Linked DNA regions of Arabidopsis thaliana. The protein of the gene in region 1 interacts with the protein of each later gene in a pairwise test. Each region holds a gene or a part of one and is shown in the gene's direction. Other genes may lie near its edges.

What was found. Proteins that work in one complex are often made in the same cells at the same time.
Region 2: the proteins of ALF5 (region 1) and AT4G30240 interact in a protein complementation assay, tested with the Arabidopsis thaliana proteins (one large-scale study listed by BioGRID).

What each region holds. Positions count from the first base shown.
Region 1 is NC_003074.8:8,451,770-8,459,701, reverse strand, and holds ALF5 (MATE efflux family protein), read left to right. Parts: upstream 1-2,993; 5' UTR 2,994-3,113; coding exon 3,114-3,395; intron 3,396-3,679; coding exon 3,680-4,224; intron 4,225-4,383; coding exon 4,384-4,470; intron 4,471-4,570; coding exon 4,571-4,627; intron 4,628-4,725; coding exon 4,726-4,964; coding exon of another isoform or gene 4,965-5,005; exon of another isoform or gene 5,006-5,038; coding exon 5,039-5,157; intron 5,158-5,236; coding exon 5,237-5,341; 3' UTR 5,342-5,799; downstream 5,800-7,932. Other genes in the region: AT3G23570 (alpha/beta-Hydrolases superfamily protein), read left to right, coding at 94-241, 335-356, 532-658, 882-972, 1,095-1,184, 1,273-1,373, 1,510-1,650.
Region 2 is NC_003075.7:14,806,069-14,812,040, reverse strand, and holds AT4G30240 (Syntaxin/t-SNARE family protein), read left to right. Parts: upstream 1-1,965; 5' UTR 1,966-2,295; coding exon 2,296-2,378; intron 2,379-2,585; coding exon 2,586-2,700; intron 2,701-2,800; coding exon 2,801-3,385; intron 3,386-3,460; coding exon 3,461-3,560; intron 3,561-3,662; coding exon 3,663-3,682; 3' UTR 3,683-3,719; intron 3,720-3,805; 3' UTR 3,806-4,152; downstream 4,153-5,972. Other genes in the region: AT4G30250 (P-loop containing nucleoside triphosphate hydrolases superfamily protein), read left to right, coding at 1-779; AT4G30230 (uncharacterized protein), read right to left, coding at 4,883-5,665.

The sequences.
Region 1 (7,932 bases):
GTCAAAGGTGGTTTGGTGGCTTTACTTTTTAAAACAGAGGTCCCAAAGCGCGAGAGAGGAGTCGTCTTGTTTTTTGGTTCGGCGAAAACAAGAATGTCAGGTCATCAGTGCACCGAGAACCCGCCTGATCTGGATCCAACTAGCGGGTCGGGTCATGTCGAGAAACTCGGTAACCTTGACACCTACGTCTGTGGTTCCACTCATTCAAAGCTTGCTGTTCTTCTTGTCCCTCATGTTTTCGGTAAAAAAACCTTTTTACCTGTCCCAATTACGTTTGATGTTCTTTCTGAATTTGTTGGTTTGATTTGAGAATCTAAAACGTTTTCTTCTGCAGGATATGAAACTCCAAACCTGAGGTGCTGTAACAGAGAATCCCTACTGAATCAGCTTGTCTTTTGTTGATTGTTAGACAGTCTTTTACTTCAGATTCTTTGTTATAATGAGTTATAGTTTATATCACCTTTTATAGTCACTCGAAAGATGTTTCATTCTTGCTGTAACTTGTCATGGATATTGTTCTTCCCTTGATAGGAAACTTGCTGACAAGGTTGCAGAAGCTGGATTCTACGCGGTGGTTCCTGATTTCTTCCATGGAGATCCTTATAATCCCGAGAACCAGGATCGTCCGTTTCCTATTTGGATGAAAGATCATGAACTAGTTAGTTTCTTTTCCTTATTAAATGTTCAATCCTCAATTTTTCTCAAAAACATAAATGAGTCTTTGTTTCCCAGCATGAAATAGTCCAAGTATCCCAATAATCCCTTATTATTAGTGCCAAAATGCTATCACTACTTATTGTTGATTGCAAAGCTAAGATTAAGTCAGTGTTTTTGTACTGTTCTGTGTCAATGTATCTGAAACCAGACTATGGATTTTGTAGGAGAAAGGGTTTGAGGAGTCAAAGCCAATAGTGGAGGCCTTGAAGAACAAAGGCATAACTAGTATAGGAGCAGCAGGGTTCTGTTGGGGTGGTGAGTTCGGTTTTCTTGTTCCCATCATCACCACAGTTTTATGAAAATGTTTTCCATGATCTGTATAATAAGTCAACCATGTATATTAGTTAACACAAGACTTTTTGTTTCTTATTCTTTAGCAAAAGTTGCGGTGGAACTAGCTAAGGAAAAGCTTGTTGACGCTACTGTTTTGTTACATCCTGCTCGCGTTACGGTGGATGATATCAAGGGTATTTAGATCTTTGATATGGCCACTCCTTACTTGATAGTTCTCTCTCATTTGTTGTGATTATGACTCTCACTATATGATTGAAGCAGAGGTCAACCTTCCAATTGCTGTATTAGGAGCTGAAATCGATCAAGTGTCTCCTCCAGAACTTGTGAGGCAGTTCGAAGATATTTTAGCTTCTAAACCTCAGGTACTTTGCTTAGCTCTATGTCTTTATGCAAGGTAATATTTTCATTACTTACAAAAACACAACTAGTAGTTGATGTGTTTTTGGAAGTAGATATCTTCTTCAAGTAGATAATTGTGAGCAAAGTGATATGTTTCAGGTGAAGAGTTTTGTGAAGATATTCCCAAGATGCAAACACGGTTGGACTGTTAGATACAATGAAAATGATCCATCAGAAGTTGAAGCTGCAATGGAAGCTCACAAGGACATGCTCGCTTGGCTCATCGACTATCTCAAGTGAGAACTTGAAACGGTCTAAGCTTTGGTTTGCACATAACCAGCGGAGACCCAAAATCATGTCTAGTACTCTTTAAATAATAAATGTAACTAGTAGTATCTTCTTTAATTTATGTTGCTTTGTCATGTTTGTGGCTAGTGTTCTCTGTTTCGTTTCAGTCTGAGAAACATCAGTTTGAGTTAAACTTAAGACGTTCTAGAAATATCTTAATGTTCCTTTGGACCTTAAGCCTATTTATGTTGTTGATATTGAAATAAAGACATCCCCAAATTCAGCTATATAAATCTTTCTAAATTGATTTTTCTCTATGACTAATGAATTAGCTCTACTTTAAAATTCATCTGCATTACGATTTTTTTTGTTTTTTGAAAAATCGACCTCTTAGTAAATCATAAAACCTTGACAAAATTAGCAATTCTCAACTAATGTTTAACAGATAGTTGTTAGTTTCACCAGCTTCTGTTTAATTATTAATTTGATGATTAAAAATAATTTTTTTTTCTAAATATGGATTCTTGTATTGATATTTCAGATAATTATCTGTCTTTGTTGGTTCTAGTTGATAAGTAACCATGGTTCAGAAAAAAACAAGAAGATGAGTAACCATGAATCTGACTAGAATTGGATCCTAGTACTGGAGATGAGCTGTAGAATCAGATAAAAATTGTAAACAAACTCTCTTCCAAAAAAACAGAATCAGATCAATGAAATAAACGAGGCATGTTTGTGAGATGGAAACTTCTTCAATCTTATGGCATCAGAGTCCTCGATTTCACGAATCAGATACAAACATAAATATTTGCTCAGAGGGTACCATATCTGAACTCTGAGTTTGAGTATGGAAAACGTTCTTAAATCTAAAAGTTCTCCTATAGATTTGGTAACTAGGTGACGACGTCTTTACGATACTCTCTCTAAATGTGACTATACAACTAATGAAAACTTGTAAAAAAAAAAAAAAACTCAAATACAAATTTTCATTAGTTTTACTTTTGTATTTTAATACCAATCCTATGCATGTCTTGAAACAGGTGAATTGTTGTAATATAGAAATATTTCTTAATTGATGAAGTTTTGTTATTCACAATTTTAACGATAAGTTAAGTCCAATGTTCAAAGTTTCCTGAGGTGGTAATCGGGTGGTCATGACTCATGAGCTGCCTGATTATAGTACATTGCAAATTTAATTGGTTGACTTTTTAAGTCATCATTTTGTTTTAAGATTATTGATTCTGATCCAAAAATAATTAGTCTGAGGATGTAATAAATTGAATCTTTTTTGGCATAATTAAAAAATGTATTTATATTGCATTATAATGTGGCAGTAAATGGCAGAGAGGCCTCTTGTGTTGGTATTTAATATCCTGTTTCTGCGTACATCTCTTATTTAATTCCTCACCTTGCCAAATCACAATTCTCCTCTTCAAGTCTTAACCAAACCCAAAGTCCTTCAACAAGAAAATCCAATGGCTGATCCGGCAACGAGTTCTCCGTTGTTGGATGACCATGTAGGTGGAGAAGATGAAAGAGGAAGGAGATCAAGATCATCAACTTTGGTTCAAAAAGTGATCGACGTGGAAGAAGCAAAAGCTCAAATGATTTACTCTTTGCCAATGATACTCACCAATGTTTTCTACTACTGTATTCCTATAACTTCTGTGATGTTTGCTTCTCACCTCGGTCAACTCGAGCTCGCCGGTGCCACCCTTGCCAATTCTTGGGCCACCGTCTCCGGTTTTGCCTTCATGGTACCATTATTTCCTTATTTCTTTAGCTTTTGTAATTTAAAATCTTGTTTTGATGTCTACTTGCAAAAGTTACTAAAACCCACTTATTTCCATCTCAATAATAGACTCGAACTCGAATTCAAGAATCAAGATTGTTTAAAATGATTTATTCGACATAAATGACTAGTAGATGATTTTAGGAGTTGTCTAAATTTTTATTAACGACATCTTCAAGAACATTTGGCCAACGGTATATATGTATAAGTGCTTGTTTATGACATACATTAATGTCTCTTTGTTTTCAGGTAGGGTTAAGTGGATCACTTGAGACATTATGTGGACAAGGCTTTGGTGCAAAAAGATACAGGATGTTGGGAGTTCATCTACAATCATCTTGCATCGTTTCATTAGTTTTCAGCATCCTCATCACCATCTTCTGGTTCTTCACAGAATCGATTTTTGGACTTCTCAGACAAGATCCTAGCATTTCAAAACAAGCTGCACTCTATATGAAGTACCAAGCTCCCGGTTTACTAGCTTACGGGTTTTTACAAAATATTTTGAGATTTTGCCAAACACAATCGATCATTGCTCCACTAGTCATCTTCTCGTTTGTTCCCTTGGTGATAAACATTGCTACCGCATATGTTCTTGTTTATGTAGCTGGGCTTGGATTCATTGGTGCTCCAATAGCTACATCTATTTCATTGTGGATAGCTTTCCTTTCGCTTGGAACTTATGTGATGTGTTCAGAAAAGTTTAAGGAAACATGGACTGGATTTTCGTTGGAATCATTCCGTTATATCGTAATAAACTTGACATTAAGCCTCCCTTCTGCTGCTATGGTATGGTAAGTATATATGTTTCTTGACCGTTATATCTAGCCTAGTGGTTTATATTAGTCAATGTAATCATACCCGGGGTCAAAACCAAATAGTACATGTTGACAAAAAGAAAAAAAAATATCATTAGGCTTGTTGAAGCTTAAGAGACTATATTGTTGCAACAGTTTGGAATATTGGGCATTCGAGATTCTTGTGTTCTTGGCAGGAGTGATGCCAAACCCGGAAATCAATACTTCTTTGGTCGCTATATGGTAAAAAATATATATTTTTAATATCACTTTTTTGGTAGTTAATGTTTTTTTTATCTATTATATCAAATTTCTCAATGTGTGTTATGTTAAATAAATTCAGCGTCAACACGGAGGCGATTAGCTACATGTTAACATACGGACTTAGTGCAGCTGCAAGGTTTGCTCATTTTACTAGATAGTTTCAAAATACTTTGTATTCCATCTTGCTGAAAAATATTGTTTCGGAAATGTAAAAATCGAAAATAAATATTGCAGTACGCGTGTGTCCAATGAACTTGGAGCAGGAAATGTAAAAGGCGCAAAGAAGGCGACCTCTGTGTCCGTAAAGTTGTCTTTAGTTCTTGCTCTCGGCGTTGTAATTGTTTTACTCGTAGGTCATGATGGTTGGGTTGGGTTATTTAGCGATAGCTATGTGATTAAAGAGGAGTTTGCATCATTGAGGTTTTTTCTTGCTGCCTCTATAACTCTTGATTCAATCCAAGGAGTTTTATCAGGTAAAAGATCCAATATATATTTTTTTTTTTTACTCATCTAGGGTGGTAAAAATCATTGTTAAATTTATTTACAGGAGTTGCAAGAGGATGCGGATGGCAGCGTTTAGTCACGGTTATAAATTTGGCGACATTCTACTTAATTGGAATGCCGATTGCCGCCTTTTGTGGTTTCAAGTTGAAGTTTTATGCCAAGGTATTGCTTGATTCTATAATAAGATTAGTAAATTTTGTTTGATTATGTTATGTTTGATTCATTATTTTGATGGCGACAGGGTTTGTGGATTGGTTTGATATGTGGAATATTTTGCCAATCATCATCTCTTTTGCTTATGACAATATTCCGGAAGTGGACAAAGCTGAATGTTGCTACGGTCTGAAAACTCTAGTTACGTTCCATTTTTCTACGGAGGCACATTTATTTTCTTAAGCAGATATGGAATCAGTTATCAAGATATATATTTGGAACTCATGATCATTTTCCAAACGCTTAGTTAAGATTTATCTTTCTTAGTTTTCTTTTTATTCTTTTGGAGTGTAAGGGAAATAATCTGGTTCACAAAGTTGGTCATGGCTTGAATATTACAGCATCATTCTAAGCTATCTTTGAAACCAACTTCTTCTTAGTTGCGTTCTTCAATTTACTAGACTAGTTTCGTTATCGTCAGCAAGAAACTTTTCTCATTTTCTATTTCTTTAATTCCTCGTCGTTTTACTATTTTTGGCGATTTTTTTGGCATATTGTGCTAAAATCAGAAATTTTGATGCTTTCTATGTAAACTTATTTCTCTTGCTTAGTTACACACGTCTGGTCTGGTGTCTCCATATTATCCTGTTTGCTTTCTGGCAATGAGCTAGCTTAAATATGAGATCTTTGTCCACACGTTTTCTCAAAATAATAGCTTTTCTGGCCATTAATTTTGATAGAATCTATCTCGTCTCTTCGAAATAATGATTTTCTATCTATCTCGATAGGATTGAATCTTCATTTAAACCATCAATTAGTAGAATGCTCAGACAACTTTCTGGCCAGATTAGTCAGACAACGTGTGTTTGGACTCTCCTATCATGTTAAGTTTCATGGGATTCCAACTCAAAACCAATTGGTAATTAATGAATTATCCAATGTCTTTTATATACTACTCAAATCTTCTCTCATCTTTATGATGTGTGATCATTCTCCACAAGATTAAGTTTGATCATACAGTTCATTTAGGCTTTTCCATGTCCTAAAGGAGGTTATGGCCGTTATGAATTTACTTAACACAAATCTAATAAGTTTTCCATTATTTAGCCATGAGGCGATGCTAGGATGATTAGTAAGCCTATTACATAATCTTATTTTCAGATAGAGTTTAACATAATTAGGTGATTGACTTGAATAGAATCTACGAATGCCATCAATTGATTTACTTGACACTGTTTCCATAGAAGTTTAACATAAAACAGTGTCATGAAACTTAAGTAGTTGTTATTTGGTGGGCTAAGGAATAGAATCTAGGATTGTGCTTAATTAAACCTCGTTATGTCACATGGTTCGATCTCATCTATTGTTTTGCTATGTTGAACTTTCGTGATACAAATCTTTCTAATTTTGAACTGAACTTCAATTCCTAATTAAACTCGTTTTTTTGTGTTTCATTTATTCGTTAATGTTAGTCGTCTTTTGTGTTTCATTTATTCGGTCATGTTAGTCTTTCCCTAATATAGTGTAAATTCCTAGTTTAACAATAGTTTCACTATAGCACAATGGTTAAATTCATCTTGATTGATAACTTTCCTAAATTTGAAATCCACAAACCAAATTCATTGCCTATCAAAAGAATTCGTCTCTCATATTCGATCTGTGGCATAAGAAAACTTTTTTAAAAAGAAATATGTAATTATTTGTGTAAAAATATATACAGTGTAAATTCATTGCTTATCAAAAACATCCGTTGTAGTACAAGGGTTTAATTCATCTTGATTGCTGTTTCTCTAGTTTAATCGATTGATCGCTTTCTAGGTTTGAATCCTGGCAGCGGAAACTTTTTTAATTTATCTGTTGTTATTTGTGTAAATATATATACAGTGTAAATTCATTGCTTATCAAAAGATCCGCTGTAACACAAGGATTTAATTTATCTCGATTGTTGTTTCTCCGGTTTAATTGATTGATGGCTTTCCGGATTTGAAAAGTTTCCGGGATCGAATTTCGGCACTAGAAAACTTTTTTTAGTTTTTTTTTGTAATTATGGGTTTCAATAGATAGATATACAATATATAGTTTAAATTCATAATTTATAATTCTCCCCTTACAAAAGATTAAAATTTGGATTACATTTGAGAATAAAGGGGAGAAGCAACATAGCATGTAGCGGAATGGATCAAGCTAAAAGACGTTTAAGGGAGAACACAAGTTTATGAGACTCCTAGATCTCACATCGTTCACCCTGACCCACATCGACCTTGTGATGGTCCCATGCAAGAAAATGGCAAATCACACGTCGATTCTTACATCGGGCAGAGGTAGATCAAAGCGGGAAAGTTGAAGAATCATGCAAGTATCAGATTGGCCTCCACATCGACATAGGCAATGTCATCCCACAAATTTTGAAGTGCCAGCATGGTTTAAACTTGTTTTTGAGGATTTTTAATATAAGTTTGAGTTTTCTCTAATTTGTATAGAGACTCAAGAGCCTTGTTCTACATTTCGTTAATGAAGATGTCATATTTTCATCAAACTAGTGAAGATTTTCTCATCTTGATACATCTCTTCTCTTAAATTATGTTTATGCCTCCATTTACCTTTGCTTTTTTGCTTCTTTAGTTCAGTCTTGTTATCAAAGTTTTGAAGATTAAACTAGCTAGGATTAATAATGAATACATCAATGATGTTGATTATGGGAGAATCTTGCTAGATTCTTTAGTCAAAAGAATTGGAGTTCTTAGACTCTCATAGGAAGGGAAGATCTTCCCCACCATTCCTTAC
Region 2 (5,972 bases), on another chromosome or scaffold:
TGATTGCTGCAATGGCGAATTACCTTGGTTACGATATTTACGATCTTGAACTCACTGAGGTTCAGAACAACTCTGAATTGAGGAAGCTGTTGATGAAGACTAGCTCTAAGTCTATCATTGTCATCGAAGACATTGATTGTTCTATCAGTTTGACGAAACGAGGAAAGAACAAAAAGAAGAATGGGAGCTATGAATATGATCCAGGTTTGACAAACGGGTCGGGTTTGGAGGAACCGGGAAGCTCGGTGACTCTGTCGGGGCTATTGAACTTCACAGATGGGCTTTGGTCTTGTTGTGGGAGTGAGAAGATATTTGTGTTCACGACAAATCATATAGAGAAGTTAGATTCTGCTCTGATGAGAAGTGGGAGGATGGATATGCATGTTCACATGGGTTTTTGTAAGTTTCCGGCTTTGAAGATTCTGTTGAAGAATTATCTGAGGCTTGAGGAAGAAGATATGGATAGTGTTGTTTTGAAGGAGATGGAAGAATGTGTGGAGGAAGCAGAGATTACTCCGGCTGATGTTAGTGAAGTGTTGATTAGGAATAGGAGTGATGCGGAGAAGGCGGTGAGGGAGATTGTGAGTGTGTTGAAGGAGAGAGTTGTGAAGAGAAGGAAGAGTGTTGGATTGAAGAAGAAGAAACAGGAAGGTCAAGAAGAAGAAGAAGAAGCAGAGGAAGAACAAGAGAAGAGAGCTTTGGATAGTCCTAATAGAAGAAACAGAGAGGTTTGTGGGTTTCGAGAGGAGGAAGAAGAAGAAGATGAGAAGGAGAAGTGAATGATAAGAGACTGTTTATCCTAGGATCATCATCTAATGGTGGTTCTTGTGTGTTTTTAATTATCCGTTTTGTTTAGTCAAAATTATTATAATATATGATTAGTTACCATATAATATAACGTTATCCATTTTGGTTTACTCTTAAGTCAAAAGTAGGCACTGTCCAAAGTTAACCTTCTGAGATTTGCTACATGAGAGTTGAGACTAAACTGGCTTTTGTATCTACTAATGCTGCAGAAATTGCCACTTTGTTGTTGTATATGTTGTCTCAAATTTTCGTGTCGGTTACGTTTGTTTTGAAGAGATAAAAGAGAATTGGCGTTTGGACTTTGGGTGTTGTAAATTGGTTAGTGTCACACCCTTTTTTATACAGGTTATATGTGAAACCTGTAAATTTCAAAATTTATAGTTCAAGAAAACAATTTACTCGAGAAGTGACATTTAAAGAATCATCACATCAAACACTTGACTTCAAACTAGAAGTGACCTGAAAAATCCATCCGTTCTTTTTTTTTTTCTAAATATAATATTGACCGCTGATTTTTGACATATTGTAGTAGTGAAGCCCAATCCTACCCAAAGAGATTTGCATCAGAAAAAAGTTGTTTTATATTATGGGCCCAATCTTTTTGATCAAAAAAAATATATATATATATTATGGGCCCAATCTCTAGAATCTACCACCGGTTAATGTCTAAATAAGAACAAAAACAGGTCTTGGTAACTAATTAAAACTGAAAACACCAAAATCAAGGTTGGGATTTGTTGAAGAAGGTGGTATTTCACCATATCACAACAACTAATTAATTAAATTTATTTAACAAAACATGTCTCTCCAAAACTGAAAACACCAAAACATGTTTTCATTTTATGAATTTCAATTTAACTAGTTAAAATTTTGATATCACATGCGCTACACATGCCACCTCAATTTGTCCTGCTCCTACTGTCTATTACTAAACTAAAAGTTAAAATTAGCGTTGAGTTTTTATTGAATTTATTTACTCATTAGCATTTGACTTGTATAGAGAGTATTAAAATAAAGAATAATAATAATAATATAATGCGGTTGGCGAACAATTGATGTTGCGGCAAACCGGTAGGCCCAACAACAACACGGACATTCTTGATGTTTTTCTTTGACAAGCGGTAATCTCCTGCAGCTAAGACCATCTTACTTTAAATTATTTCCCAATTACAATAAAACACGTGTGAAATATGGTCAATTTAGTTCAGAGAGGCCTCTTTATTAAAATCTTCCATTAACGTTTAAAGTGAAGAAAGCAAAGAAATATCGAAGAATTTAAGGAATAAAAAATAAAAACAGAAAGCTGGAGGAAGAAAAAATAAAAATTCCTTCTTTCCTCCTGAAGGCAAAAAAGGAAGAGAAGAGAAGAGAAGAGAAGGAAGCAGAATCTAATTTTGGATTATAATCGGAGAGAGAATCTATTCCGACGAATCTTTTCGGGTTGATTTTTTGGTCTTTAATTTGAAGGGTTTAGGTGTGGTTTCGAAGATGATGGTAGCGAATAGTTTCGATCTATGGCAAAAGGATGTTTTTTTCTCTGCAGCTGAGGAGGTTCAAGAATCTGCTGATATGTATGTGTTTTTTGATTCTCTGTTTGTTTAATTGACTCATGTTGCTTGTGATGGTGGAATTCGGAATTTCAATTGAAAAATAGGGTATTTCGATTGTTTAGGGGACTAATTGGCTCTAGAATGGTCTAAGTGAGAACCTTTGTGTTTTGTGAAGGAATTGAGTTATCAAATTTGAAATTTTGTTTCTTATTTGTGTTGTATTTCCAGAATGGAATCTGCGTATAGGTTGTGGTTTAAAGAGAAGAGAGACGGTCGAGTATCCGTAGAATCAGACGAGCTCTGCAAAGAACTCCAAGCTGCTTTGAGCACTGCTAAATGGCAGGTATGAAACAATCAATGGTCCTTTGATCATTCCCTTTTTTTTTCATGGTTACTCATGAGTGTGTTAGTGATATTGGTTATATTGTTGTGACTTGAATCAGTTGGAAGAGTTTGAGAGGGCAGTGAGCTTAAGCCATGGAAATTGTCGAGATGACACTACCTTAACTAGGCATAAACAGTTTGTTACCGCTATTGAAAACCAGATTTATCAAGTGGAATCTACTCTGCTAGAGTCGTTAAGCGAGAATGGGAAACAACCTTTGCGTTGGGTGGATCTTAACAAAGAAGAGCGTGATGATCTCGCCATGTTTCTATCTGGATCTTCTCAGACGTCAGAGAGTTTAAACAGTGATAGCATCAACTTGAGAGATTCCTCAACGAGTTCTGTAGCTGAGAATCCACGTGGGATCAATGGCAGAAGAGAGGGTAGATGTTATGGCGACAGTCCTGATTGTGTGATAGACATTGACGACATAGGAAGTCCGGAAAGTGCAGATAAAAAAGGCGGTACAAGAAGAACATGGAGTTCACCAAATGTACCAAATATCAGTGCGTTGAGGATTAATGTCCCTGTTAATGCAAAAGAAGAAGAGAGGGAGAAGTTCCTATCACATATTGAAGACACTCCTAAAGAGAAAGGAGCTAAACCTATGTTTTGGCTGCAGAGATGTCGTGATTATAACCAGGTAAGCTTCTGCAGTTTGGATCATCTCTACACTATTAGAAAGGATCATAAGTCTTAGTTGTTTATCATTTTGCAGCTCTTTGACAGAGTCAAGGTTTATCAAAGACGATTTCGCGTTCCATTGAGCCGCCCTATTAAGCTCATTCTTTCCTTAACGCTAATCTTGATTCTTCTATGTGAGTCCTTCTCTTGGTTCTCATGAGTTATGTCACACCACTGTTCCATGACAGTCTCTACTCTCTATAACTGAATCAAATTCCTTGTTTATACCCTTGCAGTATTCATCTTGAGAACTTAAAACCGCGGTTTCAGAAACTCTCAAGAAACATTGACAGGTAAATGATATTTTAGATTCTAAATCAGAACTCCAAGTTTTCTAAAACAATCTTTAAACATTACATCCTTTTCGTGTATCTTGCAGGTTTTTTCACAGATTCTTGCGTATTGGGTTACACACTCGTTAGATGCTACATGATTCAACATCCTTCGAGGGAAGGAGGAGAGATTAAAAGACTTTGTCAAGATTCAAATGAAGGACAAAGCCTGATTTATTACTCTCTCTTAATCCTCAGGGAACATATAGGAACCTGTAAATTTGTAAGATCAATTTGTAAAACTTGAAGCTACGACGTTTCGTTAAACTTTAGACGTGTACCTAAAGGAAACCAATGCGTGTTTGTGCTCAATGATATCTCCAGTGTTTGTTTGTCTCTCAGATATTTGTTTTGGAACAAAACATTCTTTGTCCTCTTTCACTTACTTGGCAAGTCATTTGTTCCAATCATTGTCTTACTTTCTTTTAAAATGCGCATTATAGTTGACGTCTCAATTTCTTTCATCACTAATAGTGTCACAGCCCAAAAGTACCAATTTAGGTCAATTCTAAGCTAAGTAAAAAATCTTAATATTAGGTCGTATCATATAGACATATGATAATGGTGAAAAAGATTTATGAAGAAAGAAAAATGTCTAATAATTTTCGAATCTAGAAGTCTCTGGACAAAAGAAAGGTGCATGTCACAGTCTCTCAAGATGGAATTTGATCATACCATTTATCAACCATGAACTTCGAAGCACAGATAAATGCTAAAAAATGATACAACTTCCTGTCTAAATCATTAAAAATCGACTAGTCCCATTGGGAAAAGTAAGGTAATAAATTTTTCTCATATCCTTCTCGTGCTTCTTTTGATCATCATTCATTCCTCACCTAACCAATTCAATTTCAAAAACAATTTTATTAAAATATATATTGAAATATTCTAAATGAGCTGAAATACAAAATAACGAAAAAATCAAAGAAAAAGAAAAAGGTGTGAATAAGATGTGTTATGGTCCAAACTATTATCGATTCACCAAATAAATTACAATTTCGACATTCTTTCACAAAATAAATTAACAATATCGATATTTCTTATACTAAATGACGATCCTATCCTTCTTAATCAACGGCAGAGCAAGTAACCGCGCACAATGTTCGTAGGAATAATATAGTAATTTATGGATGAGGAACCCAAAACGGCGCCGTAGCAGCCACGCTTGTGGGCTTCTTGCAACTTAAAGCGTTGAGAAACCTCCAAGAAGGTGACGGTGATGGCGACCGAGATCCACGAGCTCTCCTGTTAGCAGGAGATGGAAACATAACCGGTGGAATATTCCGGCGAATCTGACGGCTCTTTATATCCTTGAGTTCGATCTCCGGCGGAAACTTAACCATTCCAAACATGATCACATACCATCTTGGCCTTACACTTTTTACACTTCCCGAAGACGTTGTTTCAGGCTTCCCCGTGTTTTTAGTCGATGAACTATTTTCCGGTGGAGAATGTACGGTGGTTAGACCACGTGAAAGCTTACGATAATCTAAAGAGCGGCTTGCCCTCATAGGTCCCGCATTGTCACGACGTGCCACGGTACAACTACCGGGACGGTTAAGCTTATGGCCTTGTATCGCGGATAAGGACTCAGACCGTGAACGGATTCGACGGCTAATGTGCTCAGGAGGTGAAAAGAAAGCATTTTGGTAGTTTAAAGGGATGAGTTTCCCGCCAAAGATTATATTTTCTGCCGGAGCTACGTCGTAGGAGGATGAGGTTAGAAACTCAAAAAGTTCCGTTGACGGTTCTTTGTGGTCTTCGGTGGTGGTGGGATTAGGATTCTTGGCTTTGAGGGGAAGATCTCGGAGAGATAGTGCGTCTTCTTTTTCTTCTTCTAGGTGATGTTGAAATGGTTTTGGGAGTTTAGTAGGGTTTTGGAGATTAGTGTTTTTTGTAGTTTCCATGTTTTTTAGGGAGAGAGAGAGAGAAGACAATGAAGATATTGAAAGTATTAATTTTTGTCACCATATATATACATGGTCTCTAGAGGGGTCAAATACTTTTACAGAACTTAAAGTGGAAACTATTTTGTTTTACGGGTTAGAATTCTTTAGGTGTATTTATATACATGCATATATTTGTAGATTGTTGACCATCCGAAGTTTCCGTTTGCCAAATTTCTCATGATTTAATTATTTCAGGTCGATATATGACATATTATGTTGGTAATAACAATAATACAATTTTAATGACAAGAAAGATAGCAAATCT